3 linked regions of the Elephas maximus indicus genome follow. The protein of the gene in region 2 purifies or fractionates together with the protein of the main gene of each other region. This does not show direct contact. Links are inferred from orthologs where the notes say so. Each region holds a gene or a part of one and is shown on either strand. Other genes may lie near its edges.

Evidence for each region.
Region 1: the proteins of PTPN3 (region 2) and KCTD3 purify together in Homo sapiens (affinity purification with mass spectrometry; 4 studies listed by BioGRID and IntAct, with this or other methods). This does not show direct contact. The link is inferred for Elephas maximus indicus from reciprocal best matches to the Homo sapiens genes PTPN3 and KCTD3.
Region 3: the proteins of PTPN3 (region 2) and SHKBP1 purify together in Homo sapiens (affinity purification with mass spectrometry; 4 studies listed by BioGRID and IntAct, with this or other methods). This does not show direct contact. The link is inferred for Elephas maximus indicus from reciprocal best matches to the Homo sapiens genes PTPN3 and SHKBP1.

What each region holds. Positions count from the first base shown.
Region 1 is NC_064842.1:4,530,062-4,533,808, reverse strand, and holds the start of KCTD3 (BTB/POZ domain-containing protein KCTD3), read right to left. Parts: upstream 2,688-3,747; 5' UTR 2,004-2,687; coding exon 1,921-2,003; intron 1-1,920. UniProt on the Homo sapiens protein: Accessory subunit of potassium/sodium hyperpolarization-activated cyclic nucleotide-gated channel 3 (HCN3) up-regulating its cell-surface expression and current density without affecting its voltage dependence and kinetics.
Region 2 is NC_064827.1:59,014,606-59,018,352, reverse strand, and holds the start of PTPN3 (tyrosine-protein phosphatase non-receptor type 3), read left to right. Parts: upstream 1-1,394; 5' UTR 1,395-1,514; coding exon 1,515-1,563; intron 1,564-3,747.
Region 3 is NC_064829.1:111,084,008-111,087,754, forward strand, and holds the start of SHKBP1 (SH3KBP1-binding protein 1), read right to left. Parts: upstream 3,000-3,747; 5' UTR 2,972-2,999; coding exon 2,886-2,971; intron 2,662-2,885; coding exon 2,608-2,661; intron 2,496-2,607; coding exon 2,450-2,495; intron 2,343-2,449; coding exon 2,269-2,342; intron 1,916-2,268; coding exon 1,857-1,915; intron 1,607-1,856; coding exon 1,526-1,606; intron 1-1,525.

The sequences.
Region 1 (3,747 bases), on a different chromosome or scaffold from region 2:
CAACTTTTATCTCCCTTCTAAGTCGTCCAATACCATGATATATCTCATTTTGTATTCTTTGCTAATGCATTTAAAAAAAATTTAGAACCTAATAAAATCAAGCTCCACAAATAACGTAAACATGAAGTAAAATGTCTGAGCTCCCAGATCACTGCATTCTGCCATTTAGAAATTTAAACTGAATTCTACAATCGTTAACCAAAAAGTTCACTCATTAGTAAAAAAAAAAAGCCATCCACAAAGCCATCCACATTCAATACATACTAATTAATAACGTTGTTTAACTTTGATCATGATACTGTATATCCTCTAGAATGCCTGAAAAGGAATATATTAACAATCAACAACAATTAGAAAAAAGTGTAAGGATGCGAAATGACTGTAACATTACTCAGTATTAACACACACTGAGGGCTTACTCTTGCAGAGTGTGTGTGTGTCCGTAAGTTATTGGATGTACATATATTCATGTAATTTTAGGGGGAAAATCAGTTTCTTACATTAAGATACCTTCACAGGCTGGTATCTATGCAGCAGCTATAATGTCGTTAACTTCTTAAGCTCTTAAAACATTTGCTTTGGGGGAGGAGGGAAAATAAAGGCCAGGAAAAGAACAAAGTGTTACTGTTTCTTGGGGTGAATTCTCATACATACTTACAAAATTATTTTATTTCAGGATTAAAACACTACACATTGTTATTACTATGATTCACCTTGTTGTCATTTCGCATTTTTAAATACATTAGTCAAAAGAGTCTTACACTTTGAAAGCCTTTCATATTCTTGAGCCCTGCAAAATACACTAAACTCCAGAGCGCTTCATCTTTCATCCACCAAGCGTAAAACTCAACTCCCCCTTCCCTCAAACAAAGCTGGCAAACTCTTTTCTGAAAGGAGTGACTCATAAGCCATAGAAAATCCACAACTTTTTTTTTTTTAACCTAACAAGCTTAAAGTAGCCCTGGTGACGTAGTGGTTAAATTCACCAGCTGTTCCTTGGAAACCCTAGGGGGCAGTTCTACTGTCCTATAGGGTCGCCATGAGTTGGAGTAGACCCGATGAAAATTTTTTTTTTAATCAAATTTAGTGTAAGGCATAGGAAAGAAGTGGAAGGCCAGACGACAGACAGCTAAAAGCTGTCAGTCTGTTTACTCCGATTGCACCACACTGTGGCAATACCCAAAGGTTCCCAGAACTAACTGTTCAAACTGCAGTTTCTGGACAGGCTGTCCTAAAAGTTGAATAACTCCTTCAAACCGATCACCAAGAGACTCTGAAAATAACGACCGTCTGCAAATATACTGCACTCCGTTTGCAAAAATTTTTCGAGGTTACCAACAGCCCTTAGTCAGGCCTCCTGGAAAGAACACAGAATCCTTACGTGCTGAAGCAAACCACCTCCCTGCTGACTGAAGAGAAAAGGAGGCAGGTTCATCTGCAACAGCCACACCGCATCTACAACATCAATTCCCGCAACAACCCCTAAGGTTAACTGGGAAAAGACTGCATGACGTTCCCCTGTGGGAACTCTGGTGGCACACCGGTTAAATGCTACGGCTGCTAACCAAAAGGTTGCCAGTTCGAATCCACCAGCCGCTCCTCGGAAACCCTACGGGGCAGTTCTACCTGCCCTACAGGGTCCCTACGAGCCACAACTTGCTTAACAGCAATGCGTTAAGCGTGACACCCTTAGAAAGGGGAGCAACAAGCCGGCGTTGTGGGAACGCGGCAACTCGGCCGTACGCACCGCGCGCTCGGCGATCCCAGGAGGCCCGCGGCCTCTCCCTTCGCGGAGCAGAGACCGGGGCAGCTCAGGGTCCGCCCCGCATCCCTCCCGCCCCCAGCCGGCTCGGCTCCCGCGCCCCCGGGGCCCCGCGCCGCCCTGCAGGCCGCCCGCACCCCGGCCCTCGCCCGACTCACCTGGTCCCCCCCACGTTCAGCTGGACGATCTCGCCGCTGCCAGCCGCCGCCGCGGGGAAGCTGCCGCAGTGCCCTCCCGCCATCTCCGGGGGCTCCGGGAGCGCCAGCCGCCCTGCCTCCCCGGCCAGGGCCGCCGAGCCCGGGGCCGGAGCCCGAGGAGGCTGGGGCGGCTGCAGGGCCGGCGGGTGGCGGCGGCCGGAGCGCGGGAGGGGCGCGGGGCCTCCCGCACCTTCCCGGCGGCCGGGCGAGGCTCCCTGGCGTCCGCCGCGTTCCCCGCTCCTGCCGCGCCAGACGGCGGCCCAGTCTCCACCTCTCACGGCCGCCGGGCGGACCCGCGCCTCAGCTCAGCGCTCGGCGCCACGGTCGCCGCCACCGCCACGGCGGCCGCTGCAGCCGCAGCCTCAGCCGCCTCGGAGGGATCACCGCGCGGGACAAAATAGCGCAGCGCGACCCGCTCGCCCGCCGAGCCGCGGAGGAGGGGTCACCGCGCGGGACAAAATACCGCAGCGCGCACCCGTTCCCCCACCGCAGCCGCAGCCCGCCTCGGAGGGGTCACCGCGCGGGACAAAATACCGCAGCGCGACCCGCTCGCCCGCCGAGCCGCGGAGGAGGGATCACCGCGCGGGACAAAATACCGCAGCGCAACCCGCTCGCCCGCCGAGCCGTGGAGGAGGGGTCACCGCGCGGGACAAAATACCGCAGCGCGCACCCGTTCTCCCGCCGCAGCCGCAGCCCGCGTCGGAGGGGTCACCGCGCGGGACAAAATACCGCAGCGCGCACCCGCTTGCCCGCTGCAGCCCGAGCACGGGGCGGAGGGAAGGAAGGCGGGGGAGGAGCTTCCCGGCCGGCGCGCTGGCGCTGACGGCGGGCGGGAATGCGCTCCTGACACGCTGCCTACCAGGCGGGATTTCTGTTCTTCCCGCCTCTCCTGGCGACCCCAGGCCGTTTCCCTCGTACGTTTAGGGTTTCCTAGCACCAGTGGTCCAACTTCCAAATTGAGGGCAACTCTGGACACAGTTACATTGTCCACCTTCTCAACACGGATTTAGGTTGTGAAAGTAAAAATGTCCTAGAGATCTTAGCAGTCCTATACACAACAGAAGGAAACACTGCCCGGTCCTGAGCCGTCCTTACAATCGTCGTTATGCTTGAGCCTATTGGTTCAGCCACTGTGTCAATCCACCTCGTTGAGGGTCTTCTTCTTTTCCGCTGACCCTGTACTCTGCCAAGCATGATGTCCTTCTCCAGGGACTGATCCCTCCTGACAACATGTCCAAAGTATGTAAGACGCAGTCTCGCCAGCCTTGCCCCTAAGGCGCATTCTGGTTGTACTTCTTCTAAGATTTGTTCGTTCTTTTGGCAGTCCATGGTATATTCAATATTCTTCGCCAGCACCACAATTCAAAGGCATCACTTCTTCGGTCTTCCATACTCGTTGTCCAGCTTTTACATGCATATGATGCAATTGAAAATACATGGCTTGGGTCAGGCGCACCTTAGTCTTCAGGGTGACATCTTTGCTCTTCAACACTTTAAAGACATCCTTCACAGCAGATTTACCCAATGCAATGCGTCTTTTGATTTCTTGACTGCTGCTTTCATGGCTGTTGATTGTGGATCCAAGTAAAATGAAATCCTTGACAACTTCAATCTTTTCTCCATTTATTATGATGTTGCTCATTGGCCTAGTTGTGAGGATTTTTGTTTTCTTTATGTTGAGGTGTAATCCAAACTGAAGGCTGTGGTCTTTGATCTTCATTAGTAAGTGCTTCAAGTCCTCTTCACTTTTAGCAAGAAAGATTGTGTCATTTGCATAACACAGATGGT
Region 2 (3,747 bases):
CTTTAGAATTAAAACGGTGCCTGACAAAGCTAGACTGAGAGGGCCTGTGATAGCCCTGTGGAATTCCCGAGATTCCCTGAACTGCTCAGAAGAGCTGTCAAACATCTCCCACACACACAAAGAAGGCATAGAAGATAGCTGAAAGAGCCAACGGTTCTGCAGATGCTACGATATCAGAACAAAAATATCACAATAGATGTCAGAATTTAGAAAACACTGGGAGACCAACTGGGAATGCAGAACTCTCAGCAACTAAAAACCCGACAGCTAAAAGCCTGACTAGGTCGTGCTCAGAGGCCACACATTTCAACAGTAGTCAGGGTAGAAAGAAGACCACTGAACGCCAGATGCCTGCTCTATCCCAGTCATGCACACACACACACACTCCAAGGACTTGAACTTATACACAACCCTGGGGAGAAAGTGACATGGAGAAATCTCTGAACTGGCTCAGAAAATCTGGAATTAACTAAGTTTCTGCCACCAGGAGGAATGAGGACCCAAGAGAAAATGTAACAGAAGTTATAGAAAAATAAAGCTACCTTTGTTTCGCAGATCTGAATTTTGAACTGGAAAATTCATGCTCACTACAAATGTTTGATGATTGAGTAAACAAATAAAAAAATGGGAGGTGGGGGGAGCTCTGCTGCAGTAAGCCCTTGGTGCACCAGTTTTGGCTATTCCCCTAAAAAAAAAAAAAAAATTCCCCTAGGAAGACAATAATTACTGAAAAGAATATCTGCTTTCTAGTCCTTACTCAGCCACTTACTATCTGTGATTCCTTGAGTAGGTTGCAAGTCTCTTTAGACCTCAGTTTTCTTATCTGTAAAATGGGGATAATGATACCTTCCCTGACATCTTGACAATGTTATTGTGAGGGTCAAGTGAGACAGCATGTGTGAAGGTGCTTTATATGGGGTTATAATAAGAGCATGTGGATCACCCCTGCCTTGTGGTCCAAGGACTAACAGAAAAGTAGATGGACTCAGGGATCAAAGAATTCTGTGGTACTCTACTTGTCAACCAAAACGTTCTTCTAGAATGAACAAGGAACAGTGGCTAAGTTTTCCCTGCAACCACATCAGAGCTAACTGGAGGATATCAAGGGTTACACTCTCAGTATCAGCCCAGCACACTTCATCAGGAAGAAATTCTCTGGATCCAAAACAGATTTGTTTTCATTGTGAAATAGTCTATCTGCTGAGCAACAACAAATTAAGCTCTGGGTGACTGTTCCCGTAAAACACGTCCTGTGCTTTACACTGCTATTATGGGGTGGATAGGCATGGTAAAGAATCAATTAAAACTCTGACACATTAAATGGAGTTCGAAGACCTGTTTCGCAGGTTTCCCCAGAGGAGAATAATCATGTTACATTACACTTTGGAAGCCGATCGAGGCAAGATTTCGGAGACAAGTTCTGGGGTTTACAAGACAGACTTTAGCTTTTCTAAATCATTTTTGAAGTGTTGTTCACAGGATTACAGCATTCAGTTCACTAGGCCAACAGCATTATGGTGGAGCAAGGGGGATTATCATCATACGGGCATCCTCCGGAGAACTGTAAGTTCCCTTCAAATGCATTTAAAGAAATGATGGAAATATTGCAGTATTCATATTTACGGTCATTTTGAAATGAAAGCGAGTGTTAAGCAAGTAAAGCCAGATACTTAAACTGAATTTCTTTTTTAGTTTTATAATACGGTTCTACCACAAAAGGGGAAGTCATTGTTTAGGAACTCTCAAAAGAAGTTCTAGAATTTCTAGATGTTCTAGATGAGCCTCACAGTGAGCGAGAGGGTCAATAGTAGAATATGAATAATTTTGTGGTTATCGCTGCTTAAATTATGCTTCTATGACAGTAAGGAGGAATGTTAATGGTAAGAACAATGTGTTTTTTGGCTAACTCAGACATCTGTGTAAACCATCTTCAGTCTCATTGCCTAAATAACTTCTGTCTCTCAACATGAACAAGAAGAAAAAAAATTGAGGTTAAGGCAGTATATTTTCAGAAGTGTTGCCTACAAATGAGCTTCAGCAGAAATAAAGAATTGAACAGGAAAAAAGCCAGCCAAGCGTCAGCAATAATCATTGTTGAGGGACAAGTAAGGCTTGCAGACGCAATCCATGGGTCAGGAAATGGTTTGGGGGACTCAGCTAACCCCCAATTTTGAGGGCAAATGCAGAAGCAAAGAACTAGAGAGAAAAAAACACCATGAGGATGGAGTGTTAAAGACATGCTTTCAAGACATTTCCCCAGAAGAGAGAGACAGCAAGTATGAAAAGGAAACCCAGAGTGTAAAGACAAGACCAGTCCTGCCCATTCAAGTGCTCAGCTTCAGTAAAGAGCAGGACATTTGCAGTGGAAATGTTCTCATGGTGCAGGAATCTGTTCAGTTAGGAAACTAAAACAGTTTGACACTTCCATATGTGGATTCTGCCCACAACATCTTTTCAAGGATGAAAAGGTGAGAAGGGGCTAGTTAGATGGAGGCTGGGGATACCAGTTTTGTTTTTTTGCTTTAATTGTGCTTCAGGTGAAAGTTTACATCTCAAGTTAATTTCTCATTCAAAATTTATACACATATTGTTTTGTAACATTAGTTGCAATCCCCACAATGTGACAGCACACTCCCCCCCGCCCCGCCCCAGGTTCCCTGCGTCCATTCGACCAGTTCCTGTCCCTTCCTGCCTTCTCATCCTGCTTTTGGACAGGAGCTGCCCGTTTGGTCTCTTATATTTGACTGAACTATAAGCACACTCCTCATGTGTATTATTTTTTGTTTTATAATCCTAACCTTTGTCTGAAGAGTGGGCTTTGGGAATGGTTTCAGTTCTGGGTTAATAGTGCGTACAGGTACCATAGTTTTGTGAGTTCCTCCAGTCTCTGTCAGATCATTAAGTCTGGTCTTTTTAGGTGAATTTGAGTTTTGTTCTACATTTTTCTCCTGCTCTGTTCAGAACTCTCTGTTGTGTTCCCTGTCAGGGTGGTCATTGGTGGTAGCTGGGCACCATTTAGTTTTTCTGGTCTCAAGTTGGTGGAGTCTCTGGTTCATTTGGTCCTTTAGCCATTTGGGCTAATATTTTCCTTGTGTCTTTGGTTTTCTTCATTCTCCTTTGCTCTGAGTGGGATAGGACCAATTTATGTATGTTAGATGGCCACTCACAAGCTTTTAAGACCCCAGATGCCACTTACCAAAGTGGAATGTGGAACATTTTCTTAATAAACTATGTTAAGCCAATTGACCTAGATGGGGGGACACTAGTTTCAGCCCAGTGTACCTCTCACTATAATTTTCCAAAAAAGACATTTTGGATCTTTTCTTATTTAATTTGCCATCTAAATCCTTAAGGCCCTTTCAATTGCTTGGACAAAGTTATTGTATGTGTTTTTTATTTATTTATTTATTTTGCCAATTAATATGCAAGTGTGTCTGCTGATGCTTTCTTAATCTTTGTAGAACAAGGGCCCCTCAGGGTTACTGAAATTGTGCCAGGACCTTGAAGCCTTGTGGTGCTGCCAAGGTCCTTGGGTTTGTGCCTGCCCTGTACTCTGCTATCCCATCCCCACCAACTTTTTCACCTCAAATACACACTCCCACTACACTGGGATTTCTCCTGTCATTTCATACTAAAAATGTTTCCACTGCTTAAAGCCAACCAAAAAATTGAATATCATTAAAATATCCAAATTTCTCATTTGGCAGAAAGGGGAATTTAACTTCCAGGAGAATTTTAACAAGTTAG
Region 3 (3,747 bases), on a different chromosome or scaffold from region 2:
ACAGTAGTGACTGCCGTGGCAAACACTTAAAATATGCCATTGACTCCCCGCCCACGCAGCAGGGCGCGCAGCCCCCTGGCGAGGAGATTTTAGGTGGTGCAGGGACGTGGCATTCAACAGTATTAAATCACACGGCGAGTTACTCCTTCTTTAGTGCCTCGGGTCCAGCCACAGACGAAGACTTAGTTTGGTGCCATTACGAAGCCTCTCTAACACTTGCTAATAGCCAAAAACAAAAACCACCCCAAACCTGTTGCTGGTGAGTCGATTCCGACCCATACCAACCCTATAAGACAGTGTAGAACTGCCGCATAGGGTTTCCAAGGCTGTAAATCTTTTACAGAAGCAGACTGCCACCTCTTTCTCCTGAGGAACAGCTGATGGGTTCCAGCCGCTGACCTTTCCGTTAGCAGCCAGGGATAACCAGGGCTCCTTAACGCTCCCTAATGTTTCCTTTTGAATAAATGGAGAGCAGGTAAGCCCTTGGGAGGCAAAAGCATCTAGCCAGAATTCAATGACACTGTTTGGGTTAGAAAAAAAGGAAGAAAGACCTGGCCATCTACTTCTGAAAATTAGCCAGTGAAAACCCTATGGATCACAGCAGAAAACTGTCCAGTTACCAACAATCATGAAGATGGGGCAGGGTCAGGCAACTTTTCACTCTGTTGAGTTGAAGCTGGCTTGAGGGCAACTAAGATGGCACTAACAACAACTACCGTATCTTTGAGTTTATTTTTCATGTTTACTTCCTATTTGTGGTATAAAAGCACTGGTACAAAGTTTGTATTTAAACGAATATTTTTTGAAAGCCAAGTAAACCTAACTTAATAAAACAATAGCACAGGTTTTCACATTGGGGGTACCGCATTAAGGCAGTCGGTAATGACTGAGGTTAGAGAAGTAAAGCTATAATTACAATTTCCCTACTCTGTTCCTTCCACCAACAAGCAAAGCCTAGTATGAGCCCTGGTTGCAGTGGTGAAAGCGCTCAACTGCTAACTGAAACGTTGGCAGCTGGAAACCACCAGCGGCTCCGGAAGAAAGATGTGCTTGTCTGCTTCCGCGGAGATTTACAGCCTTGGAAACCCCTATGGGGTCGCTATGAGCCGGGATATGAGCGGACTACAGTTCCCAACAACCCCTGGGGCATATTTTCCATGGCCAGCGGGCTAGCTGCTCTAGGGTCTCAAGAAGGTAGTAGTCACAAACTCTCCTTTAATATTTCTCCCCTCCATGCAAAGGATCCTAGCTCTTCCTAAGGCTCCCCACAAGGAAAACAAACCTGGACTACAACTCCCATCAGGCCCTGGGGCACACTTCTGCGCTTCAAAAAAAAAAGACTCGATGGCCCAATGCCTCATGGGAAATGCAGTTTCCTACTTCTCCCAGGATCAGCCCAAGCATCTGATGCAGAACTACAACTCCCATTATGTCCCAGGGCTAACGGCACAGGCATCCAAGAAGCGGGCCCGAGGGAAATGTAGTCTTTAATTCACGACCCCATCCATTTGAAAGGAGTGCCCACCTGGTGGGGGTAGGTAACCGTTGAAGAGGACATTTCCACAAGAAGATCGATCCAGCTCTTCCCGCAACTGCAGGCGACGAACTGAGAGAGAACAACTCTAAGGCTGGGACTTGGGGGGGGGTACTGAAACAGACTCCTTTCCCCTCCCCAGCTCTTTCCCCACAGAATACCATCGCTACTTTCGGACCCAAGACCAAAGCCAGTGTTCTCAGCTCTAACTCAACCCTCTTTCACGAGGGAGGGGGAAGAGGGGCAGGGAGGAATCAAGGAGATTCACTTGAAAGCTGGTGTTCTATGCAAATGAGAATGCTAATTTCGGACCTCCACTTACCCAGAGGAGTGAGCCCATAGAACTGGGCTTCATGGAGGAGGCTGGAACCGTGGACACCCCTGGGTAGTAGAATTAACTAGGAGTCAGGGTCTGAGGGACGAGGGAAGCGGACAGGGGGCAGAGAATTCTGAGAAGGAAGTTTCAAATCTGCACGGAGAATCCCCAGGGGCACCGATTCTGACGGGATCAAGATTCTGAGTAAAGACATGCGGGTTGGATGTGTGCGTGTGTGTGTGTGTGTGTGTGTGTGTGTGGACTCTGGGGGCATATAATTTTCATATGAGCAATTTAATATGATTCTGAATGAGAATTCTAATACAGTGAAGCTTAAGTGAACATTCTGAGGGGGAGAAGAGACTTCTCAGGGAGTGAAGAAGGTGGGGGACCCCCTCCCTTTGCCCTCCATGCTAACCTGGGGTCTAGCTCTTTGGTGCGCAGAAAGTTGAGGATGGGGGCGAAGACGGTGGGGTCCCTGTCAATGAAGATCTGTGGGAGAGGGGGGCAGAGGATGGACAGGGCAAAGAGCCGGGCCGAGTGGGGAGTCCTGCCCCTCCTCCTACCGGCCCCCCAATTCCTCCCCTAGTCTTACTCACCGCTCCTGTTTCATCTTTTAGCGTGGAGATGCGTCCGCTTAGAAGACTGAAGTGAGGGTACCCAGAGCAAGTGTTACGGGCGGGAGAGTTTAGGTCTTTCCATCCCTTCCCTTCTCGCCCCTCTCCCCCTCCCACCCCAAATTCTCTCTCCCGATCACCTGGAGAAGAAGGAATCTGGGATCCAGGTGAGAGTCTGACGGGAAGTACTGAATCTGGGCAGAGAGGGTGAGTGGACGCATAAGCTGATAGGGGTAATTGGAGGGATGCGACCCCCCTCCCCCAGGATCAGGCGAGTTTCTTCCCCTCCCCCGGTGCTTTTCCAGGCTCTCGCGCCTCCAGAAGGGGGCGGGGCAATCCTTGACGGACAGGGATTCCCCCCAGGAGAGGCGGGCACTCCCACTCCACTCCCCGACCCCAAGGGCTCCTCTACACTCACCTCTTGCCCCCCACGTTCAGGTGAATCACCTCCCCGGGAGGCCCCCGACCCGGGACCCCCTCAGCTGCAGTCGCCGCTGCTGCCATGGCCCCTAAGCGAGCCGGCCAGCCTGTGCCAGCTTCCGCGTGTGCACCCAGACCCCGCCCCCACCGCATGCTCATTGGGTCGGTGGGCCCTGGAGCCGCCGGCGATTGGATAGTGCCCTCGCTCGTCACAGCTAATATGCCCGCCTCCTTAAAGGGCCTTTCTCTACTGGCTCGGACGGGGCGGACCCGGCGGCTACTCTAGGGAAGCTTAGCTGCTGCGGGTTAACAAAACACTTCCCCATCCCTTCCAGGGTCTCCTATTTAGGTATGGCATCTAGGTGCCTCGTCCGGGACCCTGTGCTTGGACCCCGAATTCAGTCCACACCACGGGAGCCATTTAGATATTCTCCGCACCCGCGGTCCCGCCTACAGCCTTCCCCCAATCCTGGCGCGGCCGATAAAAAGAGAACCAACCATCACAGACCGTCAAAGCCAAAAGATTTATTATAGGTACTTACAGTGTGCGCCCGTCACACCGCCCCACACCCTCAGGCCCCAGTGGCTTCTCCTGGCTGCCCACAACCCGTTCACCCAACCCCCAGGGAGGTGCTCCAGCCAGAAGCATGCAGGGGGAGGGCTCCCCCTCGCCCCACCCCTCATAAAAGGGCATTTACAGATGGAGGGGAGAGGAGAGAGGAAGACAGTTTTGAGCTTTGACGCTCCCTCGCATTTAAAGCCTTCGCGGATGCGGGGCAGGGGAGGAGGAGGTTGACGTTTTGCAAAAATAAACTAAGTCAGTAATTAACCGCATGGCTCTGAGGCGGCGGAGTGTGGGG